2 linked regions of the Lonchura striata genome follow. The protein of the gene in region 1 interacts with the protein of each later gene in a pairwise test. Links are inferred from orthologs where the notes say so. Each region holds a gene or a part of one and is shown on either strand. Other genes may lie near its edges.

Region 1 (10,440 bases):
CTACACACGGCTGCTGGCTCCCGGCAGAGTCACTGCAGAGATCTCCACTCGCTTCACAGACACTCAAAGCATCCCACTCTTCCTCATTCTGGTCGTCTCTGCCACACTATTTCACAAAAGGAGCTTGGGGCTGCAAGAAATCCCAGCAAGAGATGGCAAAACTATCACCCTCTGAACTGTGCTTTTGACTGCCACCTTCTCTTTTCCCATGTCCTTTAAACATACTTCACAGAAAGAAGTCTAAAAAGAAACACCCTCATCCCCTCACAACCAAAGCTCTAAGTGTCAGAAGGCAGAGCCCTACAAGCAAAGGGAATGTAACTTTTAAAAAGTCAGTTCTACTTAAGAAAAGCCTTCTGCACTAACAACAACCAGTAATATTGCAGCCTGACCCCACAGCAGGGTTTAAGTTTAAGGAAGCAGTTAAAGCAGGAAAGCAGACAGACACTTTCTACACAGGACACAAAACAGCAGCAGCATTACTTTCAAACCAACGCTTTCTGCATCCAACTTCATCCATAACCAAAAGAACAAGTAAAAGCCCTTTTGAGTAGCACAACAGTATCACAAAGAATAATACTGGTATTAATTTACTCTGTTGCTGTTCAGTGCTTAACAAGCTAAGTTAACATAATGAATATTTAAGCAGTTTAAAACTTGCACTACAGGGATGTAACTGAATGTGGAAAGTATGAATGAAGTAAGATAATCCAGTTAAAAATCTCAATAATCCTCCATCCTTACAGAGGAATTCTAGGCCATGCAATCAAAACTGGAGACAAAAACTCCTTCTCAGAAACACCTGATTATCTAATAATTATAATGTGGTAATGTTATGAGTATAATACAGTGTCTACAGGACACTCATGCCAGCTATTACACAAGGCCTTACTAAGAACATGACGTTCCTTTTAACATAGGCCAGCCATAGCAACCCAATGGAAAACACTGCAGTTGATCTAGACTAATGATAATTTACTCGTTCTACTGGCTACTGGTAATCTTCTTGCTTTTAAACCGTAACAAATATACCTCATCCCATGGTAACTTGTTCATTTCCTTATTCTTTCAGAGGTGATTTTTTTTTTAATGCAATAAAAGTTTTTTTTTTTTAATGCAGTAAAGCATATTCTAATACTGTAAAGATGTTAGAGAAATAAGGGTGAGGCAAGAACCCAGGAAAAAGAAAACTGTTTATCAGTCTGTATCTAAGCCAAACACTTCCTGGTCATAATAAATGTCTGAAGTAGAAGAAACATCCAGAACTCTACTGCCAATCACTTTCCCCACTTCACTCTATTCTCATACTTTGAGACTAAACTCCATCAATATCTCCATTTACTAAAAAAGTTTATTACTGTAAGAGCATATTGTTCAAGGAGAGGTTCGAGGAAGTTTATCAAGTAAGCTGTGTTGTTAGACACTTTACAGTCAAATGACTGGAGGAAGAGAAAGCAGAGAAGGTATTATGACAAGAATATGCTGGCTCTTCAATGCCTCTATGTGGAAATCTAAAATGAATAACAGAAAATTGTAAAAATGAGGATTACTTAGATTTTCACCGACAGAATTTGTTTGCTAAAATGAATATAGAAAGTCTATAACAAGTCCCACCAACGGACAAATAAAAAAAAATTCCAGCAAAACCATGCAGTCTTTGAATTATAAACAAAATAAAAAAAACTTGCCAAATATGAAGAAGTGCATAAAAGAAAAAAAACTATTTCTATGTCTTTTCCTTCTGAACTACATCAAGCCAAACCAACAAAGGATAGACTATCCTCTTTCACTGTAGTGAAAGACACACATTTATGACACCCAACTAAAGTATCTTCTTTCTGCCTTGAAATACACACTTGAAATGGCCAAAACCTGAAGGTTTTGGTTTACTTTTCTTCTTCTACTCCAGGCCAAAGGCCATCTCTTTTCCTCTGTGTGTTACTAGTGAGGTGAGCAACCTCCACAGTTCAGAATCAGGACTCCACACCTCAGGACAGTGTTGTCATCTTCTCAAGACTAACATCTAGCTTTACATGGAGCAAGGACACAGTCCAGTCCTTCAGTGAAACTTCCCCACTTTGCAGAAATCATGCAAGTTTCAAAGACAAAGGTAAAACAGAAAGAACATAAAAGCACTCAAACCTGTACAAGCATAAGCAAGAAGGAACTTGATGTTACAGTGCAACAATGTGGGCACTCTCCCTAACACAAATCAAACTGTGGCTGAAACAATACTGGCAACTTGGAATGTTTTCTCACCATACTAATCAGGTTTTTACTCTACTTCTGACTTGATATATACTCTTACCACTAGAATCACTAGATAATTTCCACTTCTTTCCCTTTACTTGTGATAACTATTCAATCTCAGATATCCAAGACAATAAATCTCAAAGTCTTGCATTTGGAAAAGAAAGACATGAGCTTATAAGGAAGATGGAGAAAGACTTCTTATCAGGGCATGTGGTGACAGGATGAAAGACAGTGGTTTGAAACTGCAAGAGGGTAGATTTAGATTGGACATATGGACAAAACAGTTGGACTTAAGGATCTCAGAGGTCTTTACAATTCTTAATGATTCTGTTTCTTTGATCTGAATCAGTGCACAGTCTCAGCCAAGTTACTTTTTCACTGGAATACACTTGTGAGGCACGGTAGTTTCCCAAGTACCTGGGACCTCATACCAACCTCCTGTGAGGCCTTTTTAAGCTCCTATGGTACACAGAGAAATGCTGTCCCTTTATTAAATACTTACCCTATTACGAAAAGTCAAATGTAAAGCGTCAGCTTGACTGCTGCCACGCTGCTCACCAATTTGCATGAAACTGTACTTACATAAAGGGTTTTGTAATCATGCATGTAATACTATGCACTAATGTGAACAGCAGCACAACCACACGTCTCAAGGAACAGAGTGTCTTACAGGTACATGCAACACAAGAAACAAATGGACAGCACCTGTTGCCTGCTCTACCTGTAGCTCACACATCTCGGCAGCGCTGAGATCGGTTCCTCGCTGCCTGACAGCTCCTCCCGCGGAGCAGCCCGCCCGGCCGGCGGGAGCCGGCTCGGTCCCCCCGCACTGCCGCCCCGGGGTCCGCGCGCTCCCCGCCGGTTCCCCCGCTCCGCGCCCCTCGCACGGACGTGGCCGCAGCCCGCGGCCGGCAGGGACGGCGGAGCGGAGCCCGCCGGGGACCGGGTCCGGCCCCGCCGCCTCCTCCCCCGCTCCGGGCCGGGGCCAGCGCCGCCCCCCGGAGAGCCCGGTGCCGCCCCGGCCCCGCGGTGCCCCCGCTCCCGGACGGGCGGGGGCCGTGCCGCACTCTGCCCCGCACCCCGCCCCGGGAAGCGACTCACGGCCGGCCGCCGCTTCCCTCGCTGCGGTTTCACGGGGAGCGGGGGGGGCGTGTCACAGCCGCCGTTCTGAGGGAGCCCCGAGTGCCCCCTCCCCGGCGGGCCGGGGCCGGCAGCGGGACGGACCCCGGGGAACGGGAGCGCCCCGCGCGCGCAGCGTCCCAGCAACGGGAGAGCCCCGGCGCGCGGGTTACGTAACCTCGGCCCGGCGGGCGGAGGAGGCGGGGGAACCCCCGTGCCCCCCGCGACCGCCGCTCGCCGCCCCCTCCCGCCGCTCCCCGCGGGTTCCCCGGCCCCTTCGGGCGGCGCGGAGCGCGCCCGGCGGGCCCCCACTCACCGCGCGCGGCGCGTCCCGCCGGCCCGGCGCGTCCCGGCTCGGGCTTCATACGGGCAGAAACGTGACCGGCCGCCGCGCGCCCGCCCCGCCCGCGCGCCCATTGGCCGCGGCCGCCTGACGCCAGCGGGACGCGCGGGCGGGGGCGGGGCGCGCGCCGCTGCCATTGGCCGCGCGGGCCGCCGCTCACTTTACATAAGCCTCACGTGTGGCACCATGTTTCCACCGACAGCCGCGGCCGCCTCCCGAGCCTTCCCCGCCGCCGGCCCGCCCCTCCCCTCCCCCGCGCCGCCGCCACCACCGGGGCGCACTCACCGCCGGCCCCTTCGCCGCCTCCCGCCGAAGCCGCGGTAGCTCCGTTCGCCTCCGCCCGCGCCCGCCGCTACGGGACCGCCGGGCCGGGGAGGATGGATTGGGGGCCGGTGGTCACGTGACGCCCCCGGGGAGCGCGGCTCCGCCCCCGCCCGCTCGGAGCCGCGCGTGACGTGTCGCGCGCGCGCGCGGGCGGAGACCGTTGGCGGCCGAGCCCGGAGCGGGCCCGCCCTGAGGGCGGCGGGGCGGCCTGGGGGGTCACCCTGAGGGGTCACCCTGCCGGGGTCACCCTGCCGGGGTCACCCTGAGGGGTCACTCCGAGGGGGTCACCCTGAGGGCTCACCCTGAGGGCTCACCCTGCCGGGCTCAGCCCGCGGGGCTCACCCTGCCGGCGCTTGCTTCGCTTACATAAGGCAGCAGCGCCCGTATCCCGTTTCCCGGTGCTGCCGCCCGCGCTGGGTGCACGCCCTGAGGTTTCCAAAGTGCCCCCGCGTATTGTTCAGGCTGCGCCGGGTCACAAAGCAAAGGGCAGCGCAGCAGAGCGTAGGGCTGCAGCTTTCTCCCGGACCGGCCGGCAGCATCAGTCTGAACAGCTACAACCATGATTGATCTAAGAATTTCCGAGCTCTTAAATGTATGTACTGTTCTCGGCAACAGTATTTCTGCATGGTGACACGTTACCATACAATGGCTTTCCATTCCAACTGTTTAAAGAATTGTGTTTAAAAACTTCTCTGTTTAAAGAAGTTTTTCAGCTTTTGTTGAATCAAAACTTTCAGAGACCATTGACACTTCCCATTTTACAGTAATAAAGAATTTAATGAATTCTTATACATCAGTCACACAGGTTTGCGCTCAGGCCCCTGCACCATCCATCCAACACTGGTGCGAGAACCTGAGTAGTTCAGTGAGATAACCCAATAATCCTCTGCTGAACACCTCGGCCCTGCTCCAGTCTCCACATCTCCCAAGGCTAAGCAGAGCAATCGGTAAGTGAGAAATTCATGTTACTTTATGTGTATTCTGAGTTTCCTCTGTCTCCGCTGTAGTAGATGACTTTGCAAAGAAGGAGCAGAGAATGTGCCAAAGCCACATTCGGGCTGACAGCGTTTTACACTCACTGCATGTATGCAGTTGCTCCATAGGATGAAACACCGGACAACCATCAGGGCTTCTACTGTTTATCTGCAAAATGAGGTTAATGCCACTTCCCTTCCTCACTGCAGTGTTAAGGATAAGTCCATTAGATACACAGGTATTTATGCTCTGACTGTTACAGAAACAGCCTGTGAGTAAAGGACTGTGCAGTATTTAACTGCTGGAGAGGAGAGGGGGTGGGCAGCGGAAGCATTAGAACCAGATTCTGCAACTGGATTTGTTGCAACGCACAAGTCAGCTTACCAGGATACCATTCTTAGTTTGCGCTCCTCTGAGGAGTCTAATTTTAAGATTAATCCTAATTAGGCAGTCTTTATGTAGTTTGGTCAACTTGTTGTTGGTAGGTCTTCACATCCAGAATTTCATTGTCTTTTTGTCAGTTCTCTGCTTTAGGATTAAAGGGATGTAGAATAATATTCTTGGTTTCCATGGGATGTTGTTTTTCGTGTTACATGCCAAAAATACCCATCCCTCTCTGTGTGCTGAGGGCTTTAGTCTTTTAGCACAGACTCCAACTAAGGCACTTCAACCAAAGCGAAACCTTGAGATCCACACTGTCCCACACCCCATCAGATCACAAATACGAGAAGGATGGCAAACCATGGCACTGTGTTAGAGCTAAATGAGTTCCCAGGACACACATTCCCCATTGCAGCAGGACATGCCAGTCCTGGCAGAAGAGTAACCCCCACCACCACAAATAGCCAGTACCTTTCCCACCCCGGTAACTACCAGAGGCATTACTTGAGTTCTGCTTATTTTAAAGGGATACTAATCAGCTGTTTCAGTCACACTTATGGGAATGATTTTTAAGTTCTGTTCATACCACCTTTTAGTAGTTACAGCTTTATATTTAATGTAGCAAAAAACATGGTAAGCTGTGTTACTCAAAATGTGAATTTGAGTTCAGTCCAAATTCTGCAACTTCCAGAAAATTGGCACAAGATAAATCATGTGTGCAGATACAAATTATTCCAGGCATCTCCAATTTGAAATGAGTGCGTGCACATGGCTTCTGAAGGAGTGAATATTGCTATTGACTCATCTACTATGGAACAGAGCAAAATAAAGTTATTGCAAAATTTTATGGGTTCTACACGTTTGTTTTTAAGGTCACTTTGTCTGGTAGGCAGGAGTAAAATACATATATGCACACACAAATGGTTCTAAAGAACACAAAGCTTGTAAGAAAAGCATTAAAATGCTGGTGTTTTTTTTCCCCAGCTTTGTTTATTTTGTGTGCGTGTGTGTTCAGCTGTAACTCCTGGAGCATGGCAGTACAAATGTGTGTGTGTGTGCACCAGGTCCCCGCTGGCACTGCCCCAGCTGGCTCTGCCCGGCGCGCTGGGGCGCAGCTTCCAGCGCTGCCCGGCTCCCTCCTGCGGCCCCGCGGGAAAATGCCGCTCCTTGGGGGTTTTCTGTGCAATCCCGCTGCTTCCCGCACTTACATCAGTAGTTTTTTAGGCACACACGCAAATGCCGAACCTTTTCCCAGCATATATAAAAAGTAGAATTTTTGCTTAACTGAAGCAATTCAGTCTGATAAGCAGCAACTTATTGACAGTATCTACATTTTTAAAGGGGGAAAAAATCCAAGTCTTTCAATATCGAAAAATAATAGTTTGAGACCACCTGAAAAACTACCTGAGGACTGCTTGCTTGGATTTGCTAAGGAAATAAGACTCCTTTTTGAAAAACTGTGCTTCCCTATCCACTTGTAGAAGTCGCCTGTTCAAAGATACTCCACAGCACTGACGGAACTGTGTATTATTAAAAAAAAAAAAACAATCAATACTTTACAGCTGGAACCCACGTCTAATTCTTCATTTCCTAGTCTTAATTACTCACCATTTACACTGACGCTGACAGTCATTGATTCTTGCAAAGATCCGGAAAGGCTTTTTTTGCTAATGAGCAAAAGTCGTCACTCTTACTCTCTGTGCAGACAAAGGAGGAGGAAAGGAAAAAACCCATTTTATTCATTACCAGTAAATATATGGACAGGTTTTTCTAAAAGCATTGCAGGTGTAGGAATCAACTGCAACAAATAGACAGAAATATCATACAGTTTTGAAAATGCTTTCATTAAATGTAAAGGAATGTAAAAAACATTATAAAGAACTTCAACTCAAGCAGCAAGTTCCTGAAATATGCTGCAGTTCAGAATTCCTTTGCACAAGTGTCTGCTTGTCACCAGACAGAAAACCTTTGCTAACAACTTCTGGGGAGAGCAGGTTTTCATTCTGTCCCTATTTTTACTGTTTTCTTGCTATTCTTATTAAATTCAGTTTCTCTTGGCAAATGCAGTGTAATTTTATGTTCCAAATATCTTGAAAAATGACACATGAAGGAGCCCTGAATTCTTCTTTTAGAAGGATACAAATGGAAGGGGTGTATCTCCCCCCACTATACCTCTATGTGCTTATCCACAAGCCCATGAGCATGATTTTAGTCCAGGTCTGAGATCCTGCTGTTTAGTGTGTATTAGCAACTCATTTTCTGCAGTCAGCCACTCAGAAAGCTGAATGAAGAGAACTTGACATTGAATTCACTGTGCTGAATAGGGGTTTAAAGCTTCCTGCATAACTCAGAGAGTGATAGTTTGTGATTTCATGATCTGCCTAAGGTGATCAAAGTCCTTAAACATCCACCAAGAGGAACAGTCCTACCACCTCCACTGAGTTAAAAATCAGTGATTATGCAATTGTACTGGTACTTAGATTAGGAAACCGACTTGACTGAAAATATCCCATGAAAGAAGTTTTTGGTTTGATTACATCACAGCTGTGAGAGCACAAAAGCCAAACCAAAACGGGATCAAAGAACATATTTTGAGCTGGAGTGAGGATCCAAGACCAAGAAGAACACCAAATTATAGAGTTAGGCACTTAAAATGAAATTTGCATGTCATTAGATTAGCATAAGAGAGTTAATAAGAGATGCCAGGCAGGAAAGTGCATCCTCAATCCTGCCTACTGTGTTGGATTTAGACATCCTCTTCTGCCCTGAAAGAAAGTGATTACGTCAGGTTGGGCTTCACCATTCAAAAGCATCCAGACACTTATGCCAAAGACAGCTTTCACAGCATTTATGAGCTGATCTAGCATTTCACTTCCATCAAGGGGTTGGCACCACTGCCACCAAGTACTCATGGCTACGTGGTCTTGACTGTTCCTTTTCCCACTCTGCTGCTTCCTTGGGACCTCAGCAAGCCAGTTCCACTGTTAATCTCCCAGAAAGCTCCTTGGGTTTGTTTCCTGCCTGTAAGCTGCTGAATATTCCTTGGTGAGAAAGCACATTCCCAAGTCCAGATATGCCATGGATAGGGCATTGAAAAGCTCTTTTAATGGCAGTGAGACTTTCCACAGCTTTTGATACCAGATGCTCATACCTTTCTGGATTAAATGTGCCCGTATTTAGAAGGTGTTCTTGAGACATCCAAATTCTTCAACAGACATCTGAGCATCCAGGCCTAGGACATGGTTCTGTACCTGTACCACTGTGTATTACAACCCTTGCCTCCCCACTGGTTCCTAATGCACACGCTTTGCAGTGATTTAAACTCTGTATTTGCTGACCAGACTCAGTTTACTGCCCCCCATCTCATTTATGCGCTGCTTTCAGGCTCACGGCTGCAGAGTGAAATGTTACCAATCTCTTAGAGAAATTCAGTGAGAGACATACCTTCCTTTACAGAGTAAGGGTAGAGAGAAAACATCTGGGTACAGACTTCCCCACCAGTGAGCATTTATACAATTTTTATTAAATAATCATTACATAAAGTGTTGGATTAGGTCTTGGCATGGGATTGGAGCTGGACTTGTTCACAGGTAAACTGACAATCATTGTCCAAGGTAGTCGTGCTGCTGCTCTCAGCTACTTGGAATCAAGGCACCTTTCCTCCTTGCTTTGTTTTCATTCTGAACAAATATGATAACATTAACAGACTATAACAGAAACATTTGCAAGAAACTGGATGCTAAATGGCGAACTAACCAGAAAGGTGCAGCACACCGACTGCCCTCCCTGTCACAGTCACAGGCCTGACCCCAGCCAGACATTCAGCCATTCCTTCCACAACAGTACTAATTATAGACCGGTGATTTGTACTTGTTTAGGAAGGAAGAGCCAAATTTTAAATGGGAAAGAGTGTCTTTCTGTATAATTCTGGAGAGTGTTTCTTAATTAAAAACACTTCATTTTCAGATTGGATTTCCCATTACTCCTCTGTGTCAATTAATTTTCCGGCTTTCGTTCACACTTGAGCTGTTTTGAACTGCTCGCTGCTGCTACTGAAGTCAGCGGAAGCTTGCGTTTGTTTTCAGGAGAGGGTGTTTAGTGACTGCCTGAGTTTGCTTCAGGAAGAAAACCCGATGTACCTGGCCACACTACTGGAAACAAAGCAGGGATTTTAATAATCAGGCATTGCAAAAGTGCCTTGTACTAAGCCAATTAGAGAGACTTCAGTAAACAAAGTTTTACAGATGCTATCAATAAACAGAAGTTTCTGATAAGCAATCAGAAATTCTGTTGGTTTAATTCTAATCAATTAGAAAGAAAAGACAAAGGACAGCTCACTTTGCACATGTCATTGAAATATAGAAGCAGGGGGTGAAGGGTTGATACAAAGTGTGTTTTGATAAATCCCTTTGATATAAACAACTTTGGCAACTTGCTCAAGAGAGTAACTAAACCAAAGATATCTGAAATCTGTCCCATCTTTGTGGATTATCTTGTATTAAATTGGTATATGCTTAACTATAGCCTTTTACTAAGTGCAGCTCAAGGGAGAAAATCCTCAACTACCTCATTTCCTGGGTGTAAAATATCTTGAAAATAATTTGTCTGAAATATCCTTGGGATTTCTTCCTATTTGGCAGTAGCCAATTTAAAGTTTACCATCTGAATGGAGAGAAGCAGACATCCAGACAAAATCAAAATTACTATCACATGACCCCTTTTTGCACAGAAACCCACTAAAATATAGTACTTATTACCATAATGAGACATACTCTATCCACTTATGTCATGCTTCATTAGCAGTAGAAGAACTATGGAGTTCAATGCTTTTTTGAGTAACATCACAACAACAAAAAAAAAAAAATTAAACAAGTAGTTTAAGTCAGTGAATAGAAAAAAAAACAACAAAAACAAATCCTTACATTTCTTAAAGTAGAATGGTTAAAGGACATTAAAAAAATCAGGAATTAGTAATCCTAAGTAATATTACCTAATTGTTGTTCTTTAGAGGAAAGGCTGTACTACAGGAAAGCAAAGGAGCTATA
Region 2 (10,044 bases), on another chromosome or scaffold:
ATGGTAATGGCTGAGTGGTCTCTCCTTGTCCTAATCTTGACTCACAAGCTTTTTACTTTCTACTCCCTGCCTAATCAAGGGGAACGACAGAGCGCCTTTGGTGGGCTATGTTAAATATTTAATAAATTAAATAGATTTTCATTCTAAGTACTACACAATAAAAACAAACTTAAAGAGATGTCCTCATCAGGGAAGTAATAAATATTTGTGTGCATTCCTTTTTATATATTAAGCATGTCACCAAAAATGAATGAAGTATAACACACAAATTTTGTCTGCCTGAATTACACATATGAAATTCAAATCACTCATAGATTAATTCTATTGACAAACTTTTTCCACCAATCCCCCATCCAACAAACACATATCTATTCGACAAATCATAACTATGTAAGCGGAAACTGTAAGTATATTTCCAAAACTAGATGCATAGAACAGCAAAATTTAATAGATACTACAGAAAGATGTCCAAGTATTATTTTTAAAACAAGTTCCATTTCCATGAATTGCAGTGATTGTCCTGGAAATGAAACTTTTTTTTTCCTCTCAGGTTTTTTTATTTGCTTGAAATTTGAGTGTGGAAAAATAAATCATCTCTCTCCTCTCTCCAAAGCCAATACCACTATCTGCAATAATAGCAGCAGCTAACTTTGAAGAATGTTGAACACATCAATATTCTCACAAAATCTAAGAGATATACAAAGCAAATTCAATTACTCCTATTTTAAAAGTAAAATCCATTCTCTTCATCAATGGTTAAAAAAGTGTTTTAACTAGCATATCAAAGACAGACATATATACCCAAAAAAGACAATTCAGAAGAGGTAAATTATTACCTAAAGTAAATCCTTATGCAGCAACTAACAATGTTTCCATTTCTTTTCAGGTATTGTGATCAATTGTCACTCTGCACTAAAACCAGTGAAGCTCTCCCCTAGGTGATGTTGTAAAGCATGAAATCCCATTCTCCTTAATATGGAAAAGTCTGTGAGCACATACGAACACATTTTTTCAGAAGTAGGTAATGGTTACTTGTTGGAGTATGCAAGTTACATTCTTTGCCTGCTTTGTTGACACAATTTAGATACAAGCTAATTCTGACGCCTAACATTTAAGGGCAACCGACAAAATTTTAAGAGAGCCTTAGTGCAATTTGGCATCTCCCTCCACCATTTATTTCTACACCTTTTACTGCACCAAGTAACTTCTCTCTCCAAGTGTTGATCTGTGGACAACATTATGAACACATCCCATAGAAAAAACATGTTTCAATGAAAGCACATCTTGATTTATTTGACAGCTCGAAAAAAAGGAACAATAAGGAGAAACTGAACAGACCCAGAAAAAAAAAAAAAAAAAAAGAAGAAGTGAACTGAGGGAGGTCCTGGCATTTGTTACGTAGCATTCACTAATTTAGAACAGGTAGGCTGAATGCCAGGAGAAAGGAGGTCAGTAAGACCATGTGACTGCTTAGTAATTAGACTTACTCAATAGTGCAATTACACAAAAATATTACTCCCTGATTGTTACATGACTGTTTAAAGAGAAAAGTTAATTAGAAAGCACCTATGTGTTAAAGATTGCTATTTACCAGCAACCTATTGTGTGTTATATTTAACACACATTTGTTAATATAAACCATAACTGGTGACCCTGCAGAATGACAATGACAATATTCTAACAAGAAGCTGAACCTCCTGGTTTCTTGTATTCTTTCACCATTTTTCCTCATGTAGATTGCATTAGTCATAGTTTGACAGAGAAGAGTTTTGCCCAGGGCAGTAGGACAACAAACACTTGGTGTCAATCAACTCAAATTAAGAAAGGACCACTGTAAATTCACACCAGGAGGTTAAATTTGACTCACCTTCCTACTGCTGAAGGGCTTCTGCTCCTAGTCTCAAATAAAATGTTTCTCACTACAACACCCTACTCAACAGGCACGCAAGCAAGGATTTTGCTCACAGTGATCAAGTGAAAAAGAACATTAAATGTTTTTCCATTAATTATAAGTGCCAAATAAGACTGGGAAACTAAAAAATTGCATCATAGATTTTGTGTATACTTACTGGGAATGTATGTGTCAGCACTGGTTAAAAGCATCTCATTAAAATCACTGGAACCTAACGAGGATTCATCCCAAACCAGTAACTGTTCATTTAAATAAAAACTGACTGAGAAGCAACTTAATAAACATACAGTTTTAGAAGTCAGTTATTCTATAAAGCTATTGTACTTTTAAACTTGAAAAAAACCTGACGATTTCATGAAACCAGGCTCTGAAGGCAGCAACATTTCCTACTCAAATCCATGTGCAGCATGTCCCTTGGCGGTATTTGAGTACCAGGAGATTGCTCGATGTGCTTTGGACAGGGGAGTTGTAATCTACCCCAAATTCAGTCCCTCTAACCAGCAACAAAAACCAGGCATTTTTCTTCAAATGCAAAATGTAGTGGGAGGACTACCTGCCTTCTTAAAGATTAAAACACTGTTTGAGTAAACCAACCAGCAATACATCACACACAGATGAACTCAAGGACTCTATTACCTAATGATAATATTACACAGTCACTGAAGATCCAGGGCAATAGCACTGAAGACATGAACTTCCTTCTGCTAGAACCAAAGTTCACATTTGTCTATCATTCACTAGCTCAGAGAGTACAACCAAAAACTGTTCAGCATTTCAACTGCAGGGCACATTAGAGACCTATGAAGTATTCTTAAGACATGTGATTTCCTTAACACTTAAGACTTGTACCAGTTGTCCACATTCTTTTAAAACTTCAATGGCTGTTCATGTTTCACCCACAAAATTCAGTGGCTGTTCATGTTTCACCCACAAAATTAATACCTCTGAGGCTCTTCAGTAAGTCAAAATGTTATTAAAAAAACCTTATCCCTTCAAAACAAAAGTGAGTTAAGTCTCTTATAAAATAAATGTACATGATGAATCTCAGATAAGGGAAGTATCTAACAGTTATTCCCAAGTTATTTTTGTCAGTGCGAATGAAATAATCATCAAGTTAAAGTCTACAAAAAGCATCTTTAGTATTTTCATCTCTTGAAAACAAGAACATTGTAAGGAAAACCTCTCAAAATCTGAAAAAAAACCAGAAACTCAAAACCTCCAAAGGTAAGTTACCTGGCTGGTAAAGTATAAGCTAGGATACAAATTATTAAATCTGAAAGGAACAATCCCTCAAGTAAACACAATTGAAACCTGAAGTTTCTAAACTTTGTCATTCGTCTATGATGTGGTGTTAAGTTTCATTGTGCTTGTTCCATAATTAGGCAACTATTCAGCATTGTAGTCTGGGCAGGCTAAGTTCACTAGCATTTCAAGTTCCTGACATTGGAGGGACAGATGATACACAGACCTTACTGCATTATCAAGCATTTTACAAGGGTAACAATTTTCAGATTCCTAGTGATTTTTTAACTAATCTCACATGACAAGCATGCACAGAAGTCCTATTAACCTCTGCCTTATGGTACACATTTAGCATGCAAGCGTCAGTCACAGCACCATAGTAAAGTTCATTTTTATATCGGGTAGGAAAATTACAACTGGCTTGATGGTGTAGGAATAAATCCGCACTTTCCAGAAAGGGACACTGCACACCGAGCCAGCCCGAGTTCAAGGAGCATTTAGAGAATGCTCTCAGGCACACGGTGGGTTTCTTGGGGCTGTCCTATGCAGGGCCAGGTGTTGGACTCCACGATCCTCGTGGGCCACTTCCAACTCAGGATATTTTGTGATACCCTTCCGTGCAGGAACGCTACTTTGAAAAAGTACTTCTGGGCTAAGCGAGCAGCTTCACAGTTTCTCCAGGACGGTGTCGCCCTGGGGTTCCCGGCTGCCCAGAGTTCCTGAAATGGCGCAAACCCACTCCGGGCTGCTCCCCACAGGGTTTTCCGCCCGGCAGCAACCCCGCTCTGCGCTCCAGCGCTCGGGCACTGACCCGCCACCCTCGGGAGCGAGAACAAGCGCCCCCCTCAGCGGGAAGCCACAGCCCACCGCCCCGCACTGCGCCGCGGGCTTCCCGGTTCCGTCTTCCCCGTCCCTCCCACGTGCGCCGCAGCCCGGGCCGGCGCCGGGCTGGATATGTAACACCGCCGGCCCGCGGGGCGGGCGAGCGGCCGCGGGAAGCCGGCGCTGGCGGCGGCCCAATCGGGCGCGGAGGGGAGGGGATGGCGGGGAGGCAGCGTGACCGAATACATAACGCGGCATTAGGGCCCCGCAGCGCCCCGCACTCACCGCCACCTGTTGATGCCCACGTTGGAGGAGCCGGCGAACCAGGGGTCCAGGATGTAGACGCAGCGCACCGTGTCGGCGCCCTGGATGCATTCCCGCAGCGCCGGGTTGTCGTGGAGCCGCAGCCCCTTGCGGAACCAGTGCACGGCGTTCACCCCCATGCCGGGTGCGGGCGCTCAGCGGGAACCGCCGCCGCCCGCGGGGCCGTTCATGGCCCGGCGCCGCCGGGCGAGCACGGACGGGCGGCGGGGCGGCCCGCGGGGCCTCGCTGGGACGGCTCTAGGACCCGGCGGACACGGCGGGAGCGGCCGCCCGCCGGGGACGCATCACCCCGCGGAGCCCCCGCGCCGGGGAGAGCGGGGACGAAAGGTGCGAGCGCTGGGTCCGGCGGTGACTGCGGGGCGGTGACGGCGCCCTGGCCGCGGAAAGCGCCGTCCGTGCCGCCGCCGCCTCCTCGCCGCTCGCCCTGTGACTGCGCGGGGCTGCGCCGGCCGCTCCGCCCCGCCCCCCGCCGCCCATTGGCCGGCGCCGCGGCCACGTGACCGCGGGCCCTCACGTTTCTGCGGTGTGTTCGGTACCGGCGGCGCGCGGGGCAGGGAGGCCCGGCCGGGCGGCCCCGCTTCCGCGGCGGGCCGGGGGCCCGCCACCCCGGCGGCAATCCCGCCCGCTGCGGCAGCGCGGGGCCGGCGGGCTGCGCCGGCGGGGGGCGGGGCCCGGCTCTCTCCGCCACCCCCCCCCCCCCCGCGGCTCGGCTCGGCTCGGCTCGGCGCGGCGGGACCCGGATGAGCACGGGGCCGCGAGGCGGCTCTCGGCAGCGCCGCTTCCGCCGGGCGGCGCCGGCGTGCGCGCGCCCCCGAGCCTGTTATGTATCGCGGCCCGCGCGCGCCCGGAGCCGTGCCCGGCGGTGCCGCCGCACGGGCGGGGCGCTTACATAAGCGTGTGCGCAGGGAGCGCCTGCTGGCCCAGCGGAGCCCCGGAGGGCCCTTCCCACCCTGGCGGTTCCGTGACGAGGGACGAGGGCTCGTTGCTGCCCGGTGCCGCCGGGACGTGTCGGTCAAAAGGCACCCCCGGGCAAGAGAAAGCGGCTGGGCCGTGCGGCGCTGCCGCACCCAGACAGGCTTTCAAGCAGCTGAACGAGTTAAAATGGTCTCTCTTAGGGCACCGTTAGGAAAGTCATTACTAAATGGTGAATTTCTCACTGTTAATTACAGAGCTCAAACAAACCACCGTCTGTGCTGCCAGCACAGCGGGGTTCCCGGACCGGCTCCTTGGTTACGGTGCGCACGGCCAACAGCCGACGGAGGCATCGCACTCACAGGACTCACAGGGCAGCTCTCGATGCAGATCTGAAACTAAACCTCCACTTGTGGATTGCAGTTCAAATCTACAGCGTCACGGACAAGTGCATAGCAACAGCAGGAGTGGTCTCATTAGAAAGAATGTCTCAAGTAAAAGGCAGAGGACCCAAATCAGCAGTACAGACCTTTCTTAACTTTGAGAATTCCAGACAGTTCTTTAAGAACGGTCATTTTTTTCCTTCTCCTAAAATATTTTTTTCTGCTAAGACCCACAGAAAGTAAAAGTCAACAAGAATAGACACATGCATCGTGTGTTTCCCTTTGTGCTTTTCTTTCCTCACTTTGAATGACCTAATAAACACAGTAATAGAATCACACAATCATTTAGGTTGGAAAAGAACTCTGAGGCCAACTTTTGACTGACACCACCATCTCAGCTAGGCAATGGCACTGAGGGACACGTCCAGTTGTTTCTTGAACAGCTCCAAGGATGGTGACTCCATCACCTCCCTGGGCAGCTCATTCCAATGTTAATAACCCTGTCAGTGAAAAAATTCCTCCTGATGTCCAATTTAAACCTCCCCTTGTGCAGCTTGAGGCTCTGTCCTCTTGTCCTGTCACACCTTGCCTGGCAGACAAGGCCCCACCTGTCCTTGAAAATCAAGGTATGCCAAGGCCCCAGCCAGGATTAGAATCTTTCTGCTTGGTCTTACACAAAATTTCTTTTTAAAAGGTGTAGCATGTGGAGAGTGAACAGTTTCTGAGCACTGACTTTAACAACAGCATAATTATGATGAGTTTCTCAATTATCACTTTGTTGTATGTAGAATACCATATTCCACAGTTCATAATTCTGATTCAAGAAGAACATATGGGATCCTGTCATATATCCTGGCTGCAACTCAGAGCTGGCATAGTGGGGTCATTGTAAAGTCAAACACTGCTTTCCCAGTTAATATAAAGTACATCCTTATTTGTCTGGTGTTTTTTTATTATCATATGCCAAATATTTGGTAAATGATTTTGAAATAAATAAAAACCAAAAAGGAATTCAGTAGTTAATGACCACTGTCCATCAAACTCATTTGAATTCTATAATTTTTGAACACTGAAGAAGTAGATTCCTTATTTTTAAGGAGAGTCACTTCACAGCATAGTTTTTATTTCAAACATTTAAATTGCTTTTCATACTCATTAAGTGTCCTGCTAGCTCCCCACAAGGCTGCCACACTGAAGATAGCCCTAAATAAAGTCCAGCATCAACCAGTCTGCCTTCTTGGGAATACTGGAAACAGCCCTTCCTCACTAGACCTTATGGTTTCATAAACAAATTGCAGTCATGAAAACCATCAGTCTCTAAGCTCTTTGTTGCTACAGGCTGAATAACAATTGCAGTATATCAATAGCATATAATTATGTAAAATACTCTTTGGCTCTATCTGGCCATGCCTTCTATGTGAGACAGTTTGTTCCTGACTCAGAAATGAGAGAAAGAACATATTAATGTATAATTAATATTGTATTAGGATATATTAATATATAATAGATGCAGACTATATTAATTAAAATGTCAGATCTCAAGGGAAGAACCACTCTAACTTAGCTGAAGTAGAAAATAGAACGACAGTTAATCAAGGAACTCACAAAAGTAAACCTCTCTACAGTGTTCTCATGTGACTAATTTTTTTAAACAATATTGCTAATTTAGCCCAGAAGGGGAAAAAGATAACATGAAGGCATGAAGTGAAAAAAAAAACAAAAAAGCAAGTGTACAGTACCTTTTGTGTTACAAATTGGAAGCTATTTTTTTAGATGCATGTTTTTAACATTACTATATGCATTATATTCACGGACTTTGTTAACTGTTCTAGAAACAGCTGTTATTTAGGAGACCAAGTTCCTGAACCCTGAACCCTGTTCCTAGAGCAGAAGTTTCTTCCTATAGCATTTCTCTTCTTCATCAGCTTTTTTTTACAGACCCAACAGAGACTACTGAAGGTGTAGCTGATACAAGAAGGGTTCACGGAGACAACAGTAGTGATTTTTCACTCTCTGGAAGATGTGATTGTGCAGACTTGGAGTTAGTTAAAAAATCCCAACACCTCTAGTAAAATATTTCTAGTCTAGAAATAATTTAAGTGACTGCTAATTTGTTACTCTAGATGAGAAAGTTAAGTAGATATGGCTAAAAAAATAAGATAGAAGAAGATGGTTCTCACCATCAGAGTTCAATGAACTTCTGAAAAGCCACCAGCAAAACAATGTAAGCCCAATGACTAGATGTGAACTTAATTATGTAATAAAGTAGTGGCCATATGAAGAAAATACACTGGTGTAAGGCAAGCCTCCCATCATGATATCGGCATTATTAAATCAAAAGGATCATCTGCTTCCTGTCAGAGGAAAGGCACTCGAGTAATCTGACTTAAATGTTCCATCCTTTGCTATTATATTACTGAGAAATTACTATCAAAACATTTCTTTCCTATTCACCCCACTACTTCTCTCTGCAAGCTGTTTTAATCCAACGGCCTTTCACTCTCCTACTGCCGGCCAAGCCTGCTTCTCGAGCGGCGGAGGCTGGGCCGGGTCGCGCTGCGGCTCGGCCACGTCCTCCCGCGCCGCGGCTCAGCGCGCCCCGCCCTGCCGGCGCTGGCACGGGCCGGCGCTCCCGGCGCGGCGGCGGCGAGAACGGTGAGCGCGGCCGCGGCAGCGGGGCTCGGGGGCCGGAGGGGCCGGCTGGCGTTCCGCTTGTCCCGCTCCGAGCGCCGGCGCTGAGGGTGGGCGGGCGGCGTGCAGGGGAGAGAGAGGCCGCGCTGCTCCGAGGGATGCGGGGCGGGCGGCGTGCAGGGGAGAGAGAGGCCGCGCTGCTCCGAGGGATGCGCGGCGGGCGGCGTGCAGGGGAGAAGCCGCGCTGCTCCGAGGGATGCGGGGCGGGCGGCGTGCAGGGGAGAAGCCGCGCTGCTCCGAGGGATGCGCGGCGGGGAGGGACCCCCGGCCCCGGGCCCCCGTGCCGGCCGCCGGTGGCTGCGGCAGGAGCGGCAGCCGGGCCTGCAGCCGCTTCTCCCGTGCTGGCTGCAGGAGAACACCCGCCTCCTGCCTCTCCGCCCCCAAGCGGAGTCCAAAGGGTGGGAAAGGGAGGCCCAGGTGGCAGGGCTGTGGGAGCAGGCTGTGCCGGAGACCCTCGTTTTGTCTGTGCTGAAAGCACCACCACTTAATGACCAGTGGTTTAAATAGTGTGGCGTGTCCTTAAGAACTTTTCAAATGTCTTTTCTTTCCTGGATGTAAGGAAAAGCTTTGCCCCCATGAGGAAGTTGAGCAGTGGAGCAGGTACCCCACAGAGGTGGATGGGCTCCATCCGCTGAGGTTTTAAAGACCTGACTGAAAAAAGCAGCCTGGATCCTGGAGACCCTACTTTGAGCTCTTGAGATCCCTTCAAAACTGGATTACTCTAGGATCCTCTGCATTTTTTTCTAGAAAGCTTTATGTTGGTCTAGCATGTATTTTATAATAATTTACCTAATTTCCACCACTAATCAAAACAGGGATTAATTTTTTGTAAATGCATAAGTGTAAACATTAACTGTGCATTAATCTACAAAACTGCAACCTCTCACCACCCCAGATTTCTTCACAAACCATTCAAACCCTGTCTACACTGCTGTCTTCTAGGTAGATACCTACTCTTCTAGGTTCACTCAAAGTTCAATCTAGGCATTCGGTAGTTTCATTTAATTCTTTACAGCCTACTAAGTTTCCCTGTTATGAGAATTGTAGCGGTCAGCAGTCATACGGTTGCCCTCTTTACTGAAAGATTTTGTGAACAACCCAGCATGAGTAAAAGTTTGGGTTTGCTAATTTTCAAAAAGCGATACTTAAAAAATTCATATTCAGAAATTCACATGAGGGATAAATCAACCAATTGATCCCTTTATCTATTTCCTATAGAAGATTTACATAGAAGTCTCATTAAATACTGAAACTTACAGCACCCCTTTACTGTGTATATTCAGGTCTCTGCAAGTGTGCTAGCAAGCAGGATCACAGGTAACTTTGACAGTAGCTCACTTCCTTATTGCTGTTCTAACACTTGGTGGTGAGAGGGTGCTGCAGGCAGTGAGAGCAAGCATCTTATCTGAGCTGGCTGGGCTTTTTTCCCTTAATCTCCCAATTGCTTTACAATCCCCACAGCAATCTAAGTATGTGAAAAGTTACAGGTTACAGTGGGGTCCTGCACATTGGAACATTATCCAACAATTGTGTGGGGTCCTGCACATTAGATCCAACAAGAGCTTAGAGAGAACTCTGAATTCTTGAAAGCAGTTACATACTTGAAATGTGAATACTGTAATCTATGGACTTGGAAATCTGTCAAGTCATAACTCGGATCTTCTTGGTTTCTATAGAACGCCATAATGTTCAAATTCATTCATGTTATTTTTTGCATAGGGCATTTTTACAAGGGATCCTGAGTACCCCTGTCAAATG

Evidence for each region.
Region 2: the proteins of PER2 (region 1) and CRY1 interact in a two-hybrid assay, tested with the Homo sapiens proteins (5 studies listed by BioGRID, with this or other methods). The link is inferred for Lonchura striata from reciprocal best matches to the Homo sapiens genes PER2 and CRY1.

What each region holds. Positions count from the first base shown.
Region 1 is NC_134612.1:2,125,683-2,136,122, reverse strand, and holds the start of PER2 (period circadian protein homolog 2), read right to left. Parts: upstream 4,110-10,440; 5' UTR 4,001-4,109; intron 3,789-4,000; exon of another isoform or gene 3,689-3,788; intron 1-3,688. UniProt on the Homo sapiens protein: Transcriptional repressor which forms a core component of the circadian clock.
Region 2 is NC_134607.1:20,961,442-20,971,485, reverse strand, and holds the start of CRY1 (cryptochrome-1), read right to left. Parts: upstream 4,535-10,044; 5' UTR 4,420-4,534; coding exon 4,262-4,419; intron 1-4,261.